Linked DNA regions of Nothobranchius furzeri. The protein of the gene in region 2 purifies or fractionates together with the protein of the main gene of each other region. This does not show direct contact. Links are inferred from orthologs where the notes say so. Each region holds a gene or a part of one and is shown on either strand. Other genes may lie near its edges. The genes, in order: bet1l and gosr1.

Region 1 (5,850 bases), on a different chromosome or scaffold from region 2:
GGCTGTTGCTTTTGTTTTGTCCTTGTTAGATGGGGTCGTGTAGTGTGGGGTGAAGTATTGTGAGCCTTTGAGGGTGTGTGGGTGTGTGTGTGTCTGTAAATGATTGTTGTAATGTTTTGATTTTGCTTTTTGCTCTGCTGTCTTGCTCTTAATTTTTGTTTGTTTTTGTTGTAAAGGAGGACCCACTCGAAAACGAGATGTTTCATCTCAAGTGGTTATTCCTCTGTATAAAATTATGTTTAAATAAATAAATAAATACATACATTTTAAGGTTCTTCTAACGGTTTTTAAGTGTCTTAATGGTCCTGGACCTTCTTATCTTTGAGAACTGCTTTTCCCATATGAACCCTCACAGCCTATGCGCTCCTCTGGCAGGCGTCTCCTGGTCCTCCTTAAAGTCAGGACACACACTTACGGCGAGTCGTCCTTCCAGCATTATGGCCCTCGCCTCTGCAACGAGCTGCCAGAGGACCTCAGGGTCGCAGAGAACGTTCACGTTTTTAAGTTCAGGCTCAAGACCCACCTATATAGGTTAGCTTTTATCTAAATATTTACTATAGTTTAGTTTCTCGTTTTACATGACTATATTTTATTACTGGCTTTGCATGTTTTACATGATTATATTTTAGCACCGTTTCATTATTTAACAATGTTATAATTTTACTGTCCATATGATTTAATTATTTATTTTATTAATTTTGTCATTTATATTAACTCTTTTATTTTCATATTTTTACTCATTTTAATCCAGTGTTTTCTCTGCAGGGGCCCTCTGCCCCAGGGGTCGTGGTCGACTGTTGCTTCCTGGGCGTTCTACAGGTAGTGTTTGGGTGGAGGTGGGGGTCTATGCTGCCCCTCCTCTGAGTGTTCTGACTTAGTTGCTGTGGAAGACCTGATGTTGCCGGGGCAGACGGCTCCGCTGATGGCGTTTCCTTGCCTTACCTTACTTGGCTCATCTGGACTCAGCCGAATATACATTTTTACTGATGTTATTGTGTGTGTGTGTGTGTGTGTGTGTGTGTGTGTGTGTGTGTGTGTGTGTGTGTGTGTGTGTGTGTGTGTGTGTGTGTTATTGTTTTTAAATTGTTATGGGAATTTGGGGTCATTTTGATACTGTAAAGCACTTTGAGTAGCACTTGGCTTGAAAAGCGCTTTATAAATAAAATCTGATGTGATGATTTGAAGTCAACAGATGTAAGTCAATTCAAGTCGCAAGTCACTGGCGTTTAAGTCCGAATCAAGTCGTAAGTCTTTATAAATTTTATCAAATCAAGTCAGAAGTCATTAAAATAATGACTCGAGTCTGACTTGAGTTCAAGTCATGTGACTCGAGTCCACACCTCTGCCATTTAATCACGTTCACTGGTAATATTATAGTGATTTGGCTCAAACATCCATGAAGTCTGAGGCTTCCAGAACCAAAAACGATCAGAGACACAAACATATAAATAACAATAATATAAACTGAGGTTTGTCAATAAAACTTGCAATGGAAATGTGCAGATTTCTTTCTCTACTGTAAACAGACTAATAAAAGGTGACGGGTCGTTGTCAAAAGTCTTTAGTTTCATTTGTCTTTAAAAATCCCAACTAACCAAAGTCCTTCACCAAGCCATATTGTGTTGTTCTGGGTGAAATCTTTTGTTGCGTTTGAATTTTGATTGACCCTTCTGGGCCACCTTAAAAGTCAACATTGCATCTTCTGACTGTAAACACTTGCACCCTGCAACCGGGTCATCTCCCCCTCATGTTTGCTGCTGCCGAATTTGAGAGCATCGGTTAAACTGGTAAACTAAGGTCTAGCTATAGTAAAGACATTTCCTGTCATGGTGACAGTTAAAAACACACAAAACCTGAATGGACTTCGGCACAGCAGTCTAGCTATTTATTTTCATTAATGTAGTTTTATATGTGGACTCCGAATGCATGGCTTTTAACAGAGCCAAATATACGTTAGATACTAAATAATCTGGCGGCCTGCAGCTGCTGGTTACCTGCAAAAGCAGCCTCGGCCTCGTCGGAGTTCGGCAGGGACTCGGCTCCCATGTCGATGTTTCCCGGTTCCGCCATCACAGCCATCGGGGTGACTTCGGCCTCCGACTCCGTATCCGAGCTCGCTCCCTCCACAGACGACCCGCCGATGGGCGGTTCATCCAGCCCGAGCGCTTTCGTGGCCGAGTCTGCCTCGTCCATTATTCCGGAGAACGAGAGGAGCCGAATGTGGCCGAGGCGAGCGGCCGCGGAACACAGCGGAGCACGAGCTTCTCCGACAGCGCTGCACACGTCACGTTTACTGGTACGGTTTAAATAATCAGCTCGTCGCGTATTCAACCCAAATCTAACGGAACCACACCAGCTAATCCAGAGGAATAAGGACAACAGCTCTTTCTTTGTTCGCATTTGATGTCTGTGGCGAGTTCCGGAAAATACCGAGAGGATACGAGTTTACCCGAAGCGACTCGCCGGTCAAGATTCCCGCTTCCGCGCAGATTAACTGGCCATCCCTCTTGTCTCGTTGTTCATTTCAATCGTACTAACAAAAAGAATGGATTTAAAAAAACTTTTTGAAAATATTTCAGAGGTTTTAGATGGCAAGGAAACAACTATAACATCTTAAAATGTTTTATTCAGTTACTAAAATAAAATCATTATTTGAGTCACAGTCGTGAAAATAAATATATTCCTTCTTTACTCAAAATGCAACCAAATGGATCCGTTGTTTATATAAATCCCATAATAGGTACAATACCACCAAGTCTGCAACCAACCCTAATAACAGTCTTTAAATCAATGTCATTCATCTGTGATGAGAAAACTTGCTGGAATACACAATCGTTTGATGACTTGAAATGAAATTTGAATGAATAAAGGGCCAAATCATCTCTATAAACCCCAAACAGGATCTTAACATTAATGTTAATGCCAGAGACGTATTGACATAAGCATTGCAATAATCCATAACTTATAGTTTCAATGCAAATACATGAAACATGAAAGAGAACCCTTAACCTCCAAAGACTTGAATAAATCTAAGATTCATCAGAGATGCTCTGATTTGAACTGGTGTGTGATCAGGAGCTGAGACTCAGCTGTGTTGTACCAAAACCAGATGTTTCTCCTTCCTTCTCTCGGGATGCAGGGCAGGTCAAAGCTGGTTCTCCACAGAGGGAAGCTGTTTTCATAACAGGATCCACCACCGTTCCTCCCATCGAGCGAGCCCACACCACCTGCTCTACATTAGTACTTCCTGTTGACATCTAACGTTTCTCTCTTTGGTCCTGATGAATGAAAAAAAAAAGTCTTCTTTGCTCGAGATACAGAGCTCACTGGAGTCTGGTGTGGTGGTAACAGTCTGGTCTCAGCGCTGAATCCGGGACACCAGGTAATAAAGAAGAAAGAACACCAGAACCAGACCCATGGAAACGTAACAGAGGAGGCGGCGGTTGTCTCTGCCAGATCGGACCATGGTGGAAAAACGCTTCACGCTGCCGCTTAACAAGCCCGTCGCACTCAGGAAGTTTGAGTCCTAAAGAGGAAGAAGAGAACAGTATTTACAGCGAAGCCAGGCCTGTTTAACTCGACTCACTGACAGTGTAGAATTCCCGGTAAACATTTGGGATCATCTATCCCATAAAACTCTCTCACTCATCATCTAAACCACTTATTCCTTGTTAGGGTCGTGAGGAGCTGGAGTCTATGTGCAGTAGCCACTGGCTGAGAGGCAGGGACACCCAGGTCAGGCCTCCAGTCCATCACAGGGACACGAGACAAACGACCACCGACTCACTCACTCACTCACTCACTCACTCACTCACTCACTCACTCAGAGACAATTTGGTCTCCACTCAACCTTCTGAAGACCAGCTCAGTGGCCTAATGGTATGAGTGTGTGCCCTGAGACTGGGAGACTGCTGTTCAAATCCACCATTATGAATGGGTTAGTGTTATTGCCGTCATCATCTTCTTCTGCTTATACGGGTCCGGAACGCGGGGGCAGCATCCCAACTAGGGAGCTCCAGACCGTCCTCTCCCCGGCCTTCTCCACCAGCTCCTCCGGCAGTACCCCAAGGCGTTCCCGGACCAGATTGGAGATGTAACCTCTCCAACGTGTCCTGGGTCGACCCAGGGGGCCTCCTGCCATCAGGACATGCCCGAAACACCTCCCCAGGGAGGTGTCCAGGAGGCATCCTGACCAAATGCCCAAACCACCTCAACTGACTCCTTTCGATCCGGAGGAGCAGCGGTTCTACTCCGAGTCCCTCCCGAATGTCCGAGCTCCTCACCCTATCTCTAAGGCTGAGCCCAGTCACCCTATGGAGGAATCTCATTTCGGCCGCTTGTACCCGCGATCTCGTTCTTTCGGTCATTACCCAAAGCTCATGACCATAGGGGAGGATTGGGACGTAGATCGACCGGTAAATCCGGTAGTGTTATTGTTCCTTATATAAACAGTGGATTCATTCGGGTGTATTTTGATTGAAGCCGGCTCTGTGGAGGCTCGGAGAAGCTCGTCCTCCACTGTGTTTGGCGGCCTCTCAGCCACACTCGGCTCCTCTCGTTCTCCAGAATAATGGACGAGGCAGACTTGAGAAATGTTAACCAACGTTTGACACTCAGCATTAAAGGTTTTGTTCGATTGGGGGCTTAAACAACCCAATAGTTCCAGAGCACAGCCGCGTCTGCAGCTCAACACTCCACCTGGGTGACGACTAATGGGACTTTAACGTTTAAGTTCTGCTTGAAAGACTGTAGGCCTTTGAGACAGTGCTTGTTTTTATTCCTCATCTTGAAAATCTACTTTGACTAGTTTTACTAAAAATGTTGACTTTAATCTGGAAATAAAGTCCAAAATTTCCATCAAAGACGATGTCAGCCACAGATTGGACCCACCATGCCGTCTAGGTACTCGTTCTGGTCGTCAGCCTCTCTGTCGATGTCATATGCTAGCTGCCAAAAAGGAGACAGAAGATCAGAGGTTACAACAACTTTCAACTCAATCCTGTTTCCACTCTAGCTGGGGCATTCTGGTGAACAAACATAAATACAAAAACAATGCTTTCATTATGTCTTTGTGAAAATGCAAACCCCAATGCTGTTTGGTAAATGTTATTCATTTTTAGGGGAAGGCAGCTTTATTTATACAGCACATTTCAAACACAGGGACAATTCAATGTGCTTTACACTTAGCATGAAATGGCACGACAATAAACACGAGAACACAGATACAATTATATTCTAGAGCTAAAAGGAAAAGACAGAGCTATGGTTGAGCAATTACATCAGAGATTACAGTGGAGACGACCCAGCATAAGAAACAAATCATGTAAAGGCTGATGAGTACATTCGGGTTTTTAGCGTTAAACAACACTAGAGTTGGGGCAGATCTGAGGTCATGGGGAAGCTGGATCCATATGTGAGCAGCATAGTAACTAAATGCATCTCCACCATGTTTGCTTCTGACCCGAGGTTCTACCAGCTGATTGTTTCCAAGGGATCTCAGAGCCCTATTGGGTGTATATACAGGAATGAGATCTGACATGTATTTTGGCCCCATGCCATTGAGTGATTTATAAACTAGTAGGAGCACTTTGTAGTCTATTCTGTGGTTTACTGGCAACCAGTGTAGGGATCTAAGAACAGGAGTTCTTGTTAAGACTCTGACAGCAGCATTCTGAACTAGGGTTGTCACGGTAACCGGTGTAGCGGTAAACCCCGGTAAAAAAGTTGACAATAATAATAACCGTCTTGTTTTTAAAAAACTATATTATCTCGGTGGGTTACCTGGCTGCGGTGTAGGCTCGGTGACCCTTACCAGCCACCGTATCATCTGCTGAAGTTGCCGGCGGCACA
Region 2 (7,690 bases):
CATCTTAACAAATCAATACGTCATTACATGAAAAGAAAAACCCTCAGGAGTCGTGATCCCATTTTACATTCACTCACAGCTGAGCTGATCTGAAGACACTTTCTCAATGAAGAGACAAGGAGGTCAGAAATCTTCAAACCGCTTCAAACAAAACATTTCTCAAGTGAGACAAAACTTGAACGTTCTTCTAAAGACTTGGGTCTGAAACGTCTCAACTCCTTCAAAATGATTTAACAGTTCTTAAATTTAGCACTCGTTAACAACAAAAGAAAGGCTTCACAGGACAATAACGAATGTTGAGTGGATACTCACTCGATGTCTTTCCTGACAGAACCTAGAAGATCTTCCCTTTCTCGGATGGCCAGAAAGTTGCCTTTGGTTTTGTGAAACTCGTGCGTGTAATCCTGAACGGAAACAGGAATAAACAACAAGGAAACACCAAGTAATCAAAACTACCAAAAAGACGAACAAGAAGCAGAAAGGATTGTGATGAATGACGGTGAAACCTGCAGAATGTCTCGGTGTCTCTGGAGGGTGTGCATCAGCGCAGCGTTGAGAGAAGCTGTTCCCGGGGTGTTTGTGTACTCGGCCATCTTGTCGTTTACCACCGTCAGCTGAAGGAGATGTTGGAGATGAGTGGATGGAACAAGAAGAATTAAGGCATCAGAACCAATAAAACCAATAAAAACTTACACTAAATCTGAACACAAATAGCTATAAAAAGGCTAAATATCCAAATTATGGGCCATTCCCATGTGTACCGGGTCGGCCCGGGCCGGGTAGCGTAGGTTGTTTACATATCAGGGTGGCCTGGTATTTCTCCGGGCCAACCAAGGCTCATTCTCAGCCCTCTTCTCGAGGGGGTCTGCTTCAGGCCGACCAGGGCCAACACACCCACTGCTGACAGCAAATTCACACCTTCCATTAGAGCAAGCCTCTGATTGGTGGGTAGAATCAGCCCACATGGGCTTAAGACGAATCAACCGGGCCAGGCTGGGGCCGACTGGGGCTACCCGGCCCAGGCCGACCCGGTACAGAAGGGAATGGCCCATTATAGAACATTGCTTCAATCTGTGGCCAATATTACTTCTTTTTGTAACTTTACTTGCAATAAAGTCTATTTCATTAGAACATAAATTTCCATACAAGATCACTTTTTGGCTTCTGCAACACCAGACTGGAATATTTCTGACAAAGTGGTCCATGCAAATCAGCTCACTTATCAATGTCAGGATATCTGGATCTTCCTCACCCTTCATGAAGAGAACAGCCTACCTTGGCCAGCAGCTGCTCGATCTCCACAGACATGGTGTCGAACATCCTGTCCTGGCTGGAGTTGTTTAGTAGCGGGGTGGTGTCTGAACTTTAGATGGAAATACGAGAAAGTCATCTTAAAGATGTTCATCTCACTTTAAAGGTAAAAGTGTGAATAACAAAACACATAGATGACAAGTGACATTTAAAAACACTGCAGAAAACTGGAATTATTTTTCCCAGCATGGACTCAATCCAGCAGCATTCCATGTCCTAGATGACTGACAGGCTTTGGCAAATCATAAAATTAATTAGGGTTTATTTTATGTTTGCTTTGATTTGATTTATACTGCAATTGGATTGAGAACTCTCCTTGTACAGAAAATAAATTTCTTCAAAAGACAAGAAAAATCCAGTCACTGTTTTTTGAAAAATACTCTTAAAATTATCTTAAACTGAAAAAACTGGGAACAAACTATGTTGATGTAATGCAGCAAAGATTTTACTGAATTTACAGAAGAGCTGCATCAAACATTTACATACTATTATCCAAAACACTTTCTGCATCACATCTATGTCATCACAATAATTATTTTAAAGATTATAAAAGATTATGAGATCATTTTGAAAATAGTTGATTTATACTTGTTCTTTTGGTCGTTTGAAATAAGTAGCTTAATTACCCGTTTCCTGTCTTGGTCACGTATTGATCAGAACTTTTTCCCATTTCCAAACACTTTAACTTGCTAGGAACAAAATATCTAGGCTGTGTTGCAACTACAGCTATATAACACAGTTAAACCATTTAAAAAATATTTATTTAAGAAGTAGAGAGATATTTCTGTTCCTCTTATTCACAAACTACCTCAAATATTATCGCCAGGATGTGGCTGAATAGTATTTTAGATGGGGCAGAAATTAACTGTGCACGATCATAACATTTCAAGATCCTGGCTCTGGTCTATAGGGCCTTACATGGACAAGCACCATCTTACATTGGTGATCTTCTTAGTCCCTACACCCCCAGCAGGTCCCTGAGGTCCAGTGATCAGACTACTGGTTGTGCAGCACACCAGGCTAAAGACCAAAGGTGACAGATCATTTGCTGCTGTGGCCCCCAGACTCTGGAACTCTCTCCCCCTGAGCCTGAGATCAGTGGACTCAGTGGTCTCCTTTAAACTCACCTGTTCAGGCTGGCTTTTGTGTGATCTTCATCACCACCCTCTCCTTGTTCTGCTCTTTCTACCAATTCCACCTTTCCTGGGATCCACTGATTTCCTCTTTTTTATATGGTAAATGGTAAATTATACATTTTCTCTTTCCCTTTCCTTACATTTTTAAATGACAATTATTTATTTTTCTCATTTTTATGACTTTTTTTTTTTTGCTTAATTTTTGTTCTTGTGAAACTACTCGTGATTTTTATCAAGAGAGACCCGATATAAAAGATCATTTTCTTTCTTTCTTCTTTCAAGAAGCAACTGAAAACAAGACATTAAGGAAGACATGTGTCTTGGTCAGCAGTTTTTGATAAATTTGGAAATTATTTTGTTAATAAAAGCCCAGCATTACAACTTTTGACTACTGTGATGATTATTTTAGCAAATCAAAAACATCTGGATGTTCGGTTTCTGGTATTCAATCAAATTAAAAAGTAGATAAACTCTTTATAGTCAGAGCTATATATTCATTTTAAAAAATAGCCCTGACTACCTCTAAATGTTGGATGAATACAACCCTATCCCTTAAGCCAAACATTTCCATCTGTGATTGTCTTAGTGTTTCATAAGTATGTATAAAAAACTTTGCTAACCAAACTTAAGAAACCAATTTGTTCTACCCCTAAATTACAAGAATGAAATTATAGAAATATCATCTGGCTCCTAATTGGAAACTACTTCATTTTGTCTATTGATGAAAATAAGTAACAAAAGTGTGTCTTTACTATAAACTATAAGGAACTAGAGACAGCTTAACTGAATTCAAGTTGTCATTGCATTACATCTAGTAGTAAGAATGGAAGCAGGTGTTTATTTTCAGGTGTGATCGTGATTAATCTTACGTTTCTCCTCGACGTCCATCCCTGGAGCTGCTGTAGCTGGTGCAAAGTTTACTGAAGGAGACCAGTTTCAGGTCCAGCTCATTCTCCAGCTGCCTTGCCTGTTTTCTCAAGTCTGCAACAAAAATTTCATGATTAGTGGTTCAAGTTTTACAGTTTTGATAGCGAGACATGGGAAGAAAGGTTTATGCCATTTATTTGTAGCTCTTCATATTATCTAGTTAAATGGAAAATACTTATTTATATATATACATATAAAAATGTGTGTGTGTGTGTGTGTGTGTTTATTATTGGTATTATTATTGAAGTTCTCCACATTTAGTTGATGGTTGTAGCCCCTTGTTGTTTTCATTTCTGATGTAAAAACTTTCATATAAAACACAACTGAAGCAACGTCTGACGTTTTAAGCTAAATATAAAGCTAAACCGGGAGAACAGCCTAAACCTATCTGCTCAATGGCATCCAGCGAAGGTAGGCTTGATGTTAAGGGCTGATAAGTCTATCAAAGGAACGAGGCGGATTTAACAGCTTAAGGAGCAACACCAACTTCTGAGTAACATGACGATGTGTTAGCTTGTTGGTGGGAGCGGGCTGTTGGTCTAGGGGTCACGTACAAACAATAAAACTACACAAAGACGGCCACAAGTTCCCTCTCACGTTATGTGAACGGCACAAGTGGGTACTGCGTTTAATAACAGCTGGAAACTGAATAATAATATTCGCTCCTTACCCTCCCAGTAAGTGCTGCTTCCTATTCCTGCCATCTTTGTTGTTCTGCGACGTCAGCCTCAATTTTAGGTCACGTGACGTAAGGAGACGCACGATATAGGGCTTTTGTCGCCCTCGGTTGAGACTGCAAGGTACGGCAGGCTCTTTCATTCCATGCGTTGCTCAAAGTTACGAAGTTAGTTAGATCAAATCAGCTCATTGTTTATTCTGTAAAAATTTAAATTATGTCCAGATAAAATAATTTTAGAGTGCAATGCAACCCTTTGATGAAAACTCTTGTGTGTCTTTTATATATCTCAATCTGTTTGTTGCAGTTGTTAACAGCATTATTTTCTTGCCATGCTAGAAAAATAAATAAATAAATGGTTTTGTTCTTAAATACAAAATGTTGTCATGAAAGTTTTTGTTTGTTTTGTGGTTTTATTAAAAAACATTGGTAAAATTGTAAAATTTTTCATTTTTTCTAAATCTCAACACAGATAAATGACCCTCTTTTCTCAGTTTCTGACATCAAAAGTTACATTCCAAGAGCACAATTAAATTTCCAAGTAAACTGTTTGCAATGGACCGGTTAAAACTTAATACATAAATACTGTCATTTTAAAAACGAGGTCATTTTAAATCACGATGGAAAAGTGAAGAACAAACAGGTGGTTAGTAAGGTCAAAATTAAAAATAGATTATCTTTTGTCTTTTTAATGTTTGGTTTCTGCATGTACAGCTTACAATCTTCTTCCTGTTCTCGGAAAGGATGTACCCTTTTTTCTCTTTCTCCTCTTTGCCTGCCAGACTCGTCCTCCAGGAGCAGTCTGGCAGTCCAGGCCACTCCTGGACTGCAACATGCAACTGAAGGGTGGAAGTGCGAGTATTGGGATTGGTCCTTCTTCTATGCTGAATATAATGCAATGTAACTCTTTGCTACATTACAATAAACAGGTTTGGGACAATTGGTTTTGTTTGCAGTACTCACAAACAAAAGTGATTAAAAACAAGTGGTGCTCAGAGATGTTTTTATTTCCATGTTTTGGGAGTTTTTGTGCATGTTAGCCTGGTCTCAGTACCACCAAGATGCTTCTAAATGTATGTGAAGTCAACATAAGGTGCACATCCCACAGACATTTCAATTTGCAAACAATATTTAGTTAATTCCAATTTATTTTATAAAATCGTCACATCAACACAGCGTGACGCTTTCCTAAGTCTTTACACAAGGCCTTTCAGACATGATAGAAGAGTAACTTACATTTGTATTCCTTGCCAAGAAACGATCTCTTGAGAAAAATAAAGGGGAATTATGAAGAGAACAAGTGTATTGCTTTGAATCCATGCAGGTCACATAACAATTTAGAGAACCAGTGCAGCGATCTAATAGCAGTCAGAAGAATAAACCAGTTTGATGTGTTGGGTCTTTCAACTGATTTGGTTTTAGATGTTTCAGAATAAAAATCTGTCTTATTTTGAGTACAGGATCACCAAAATAAAATATATTTTTTTTCTTTTAATGGTCACATTTCCCACTAAGATGACAGCACAGATACAATCTTAGCATATAAATAAGCTTCAAAGGGACCGAACTTCTCTTAAATAAACACACAAGTAATGAAAAAATTCATATGATAAAGTCTAAATTAACAAGTTTGAAAAATATTACCTCTTGAGGTTGTGCAGAAAGGGTGGCTTTGACAGAGTCCTTGAAACAAAACAATTAACACACTAGTAATGACATTTACAACTAAAATAACCAGTTGAAAGGGAATATAATTGGCAGAAGAGAAAGTCCCAAACCTCAAAGTGTCAGAATAAAGATATGTCTACAGTCACACAAAAAGGGCACAACACATGTGACATTCGTGGATAACAGCAATAACCGTCCATGTACATACAGAAACTTACTATAAACAAAGCTTTAAAACAAACTGGGAATAATAAATACAGTATTTTCATGACAGAGCGTTGTACATTTCTTATCACCAGTGATGAACGGATGGTTTCAACTTACTGCAAACATACAAAATTTCCTTTCCGTGCTGAATCAGTGTCACATCAGAATTTAGCTTTCCTTGGGACACAATTTCATATTTTACATAACCTGAGTAAAGGACAGATCCAATTTCAGCATTAACTAACCCAGCCACAAAGCTTTGTCTCTTCTCACAGCCTGACTGGAACCATGGCGTTTTACAGAAGCAAAAAGGCACAGTGTGTTCAATTCAAGCCCACAAACAGACCTTTCACGAGAACTCCTCCATACTGGACCAAGAAATGAGAACCATTTATAAGCTCTCAGCTTCAGGCAGTATTGGAAACAATGCATGGTAATGGCAACTATCGAGGAGAGATTCCAGGAGATAAAGCGCTTCTATTTTCCACTAATTGAACTACTGAGTTCATTGGGACTGCGAGGACAAATAATGGTCTGATCATCTTGAACGGCTCTGAAACAAAACAAAAAGCTGCAGTAAAGGTTGATCAGGGCTGTTTTTGACCTCAGAGTGCTGCATACATGAACCCCTTAACCTAAAGGATTCTTAGTTTTAGCAGCACTGAAAGGACGGGGCTGAGCCCTTTAAACTTTATGGCATGATAGAAAAAACACTTTAAAGCTGCTCATTCTTGGGTCCATTCAGCTCCATGCTGGTCAGGGACTTGACTGTGGTGGGAGCTGAAAAACATAAAAATACTGCTGCTGTGCATTTCTCAGATCTTGTTGGCATACAGAGTCTCTTCTTCACTTTCACTTTCGTCCTGAAACTCATTAGCGAGCAGCAATTTCTTGGAGCCCATGGTGTTGAGTCGGATCTCGTCATCATAAATGTCGCGATGCTGTCGCAGGCGGTGAAAGCCGTCTTTCTGACTGTTGGACTTGGCTGCACACACGCACCAGATGATGCATGCCGTCATCACCAACGCCGTCATGGAGGCAGCTGCAGAGCAGAAATGAAGAACACAATTCAGCGCACACGCACATCCTTTACACGAAGGATTCAAGGACAAATAGCTCCTACTCGGGTCTTTAGCTGCAATCGAACAAACCACATCTTCAAAAGCAGCCGTTTGTTTTCATAAACAAGCTGTGTAATTATTTTTGTTACTTCTAGATTCTCCATAGAAATGCTTACCTGCACTGGCCACAACAAACTCTCTAGGCAAGCCAAAAATATTGTTATCCAAGTCAAACTCGATGACGACAGAGTTAGCAGCTTTGTAAGGAGACACCACCACCTAGAAAATAAAAAAAAACACACAAATGTACATTTTAAATGTTTGTAACATCCAGACTTATGCAGGTGTCCCATCACAGCCAGATTTCTGACAGAAACACTCCAGTTAAATAAAAAATATAATTATTTGTACTTATTTTGAATCTGAGCTAAAAGCTGCAGCCACCAGTTATTTTCCAGATTTCCACAGACAGAAGTGGTGCATTAGGATCAGACAATGAGGTCATTAAACAATTATGTTTTTTAGATCGATTTTACAAGACTTTTATTAGTTTTAACGCATTCAAACATCCAAACTCTTCCCAAGGCTGATTGTCTATGAAAGTGGGGTAAAAGCTTTGTGTTTAAAGGCTTTTGGAGACATGGTTGGTAATTAAGGTAATTAGCAAATCACATCTGCAGGTGTGTCTACTTAGTATAATCTGC

Evidence for each region.
Region 1: the proteins of gosr1 (region 2) and bet1l purify together in Homo sapiens (affinity purification with western blotting; 3 studies listed by BioGRID and IntAct, with this or other methods). This does not show direct contact. The link is inferred for Nothobranchius furzeri from reciprocal best matches to the Homo sapiens genes GOSR1 and BET1L.

The regions. Positions count from the first base shown.
Region 1 is NC_091754.1:42,722,646-42,728,495, forward strand, and holds the end of bet1l (BET1-like protein), read right to left. Parts: intron 4,948-5,850; coding exon 4,891-4,947; intron 3,527-4,890; coding exon 3,359-3,526; 3' UTR 2,609-3,358; downstream 1-2,608. Other genes in the region: deaf1 (deformed epidermal autoregulatory factor 1 homolog), read right to left, coding at 1,995-2,400. UniProt on the Homo sapiens protein: Vesicle SNARE required for targeting and fusion of retrograde transport vesicles with the Golgi complex. Required for the integrity of the Golgi complex.
Region 2 is NC_091753.1:37,562,239-37,569,928, forward strand, and holds the start of gosr1 (Golgi SNAP receptor complex member 1), read right to left. Parts: upstream 4,129-7,690; 5' UTR 4,079-4,128; coding exon 4,045-4,078; intron 3,429-4,044; coding exon 3,317-3,428; intron 1,364-3,316; coding exon 1,276-1,363; intron 615-1,275; coding exon 507-614; intron 405-506; coding exon 313-404; intron 1-312. Other genes in the region: cpda (carboxypeptidase D), read right to left, coding at 6,741-6,967, 7,163-7,265. UniProt on the Homo sapiens protein: Involved in transport from the ER to the Golgi apparatus as well as in intra-Golgi transport. It belongs to a super-family of proteins called t-SNAREs or soluble NSF (N-ethylmaleimide-sensitive factor) attachment protein receptor.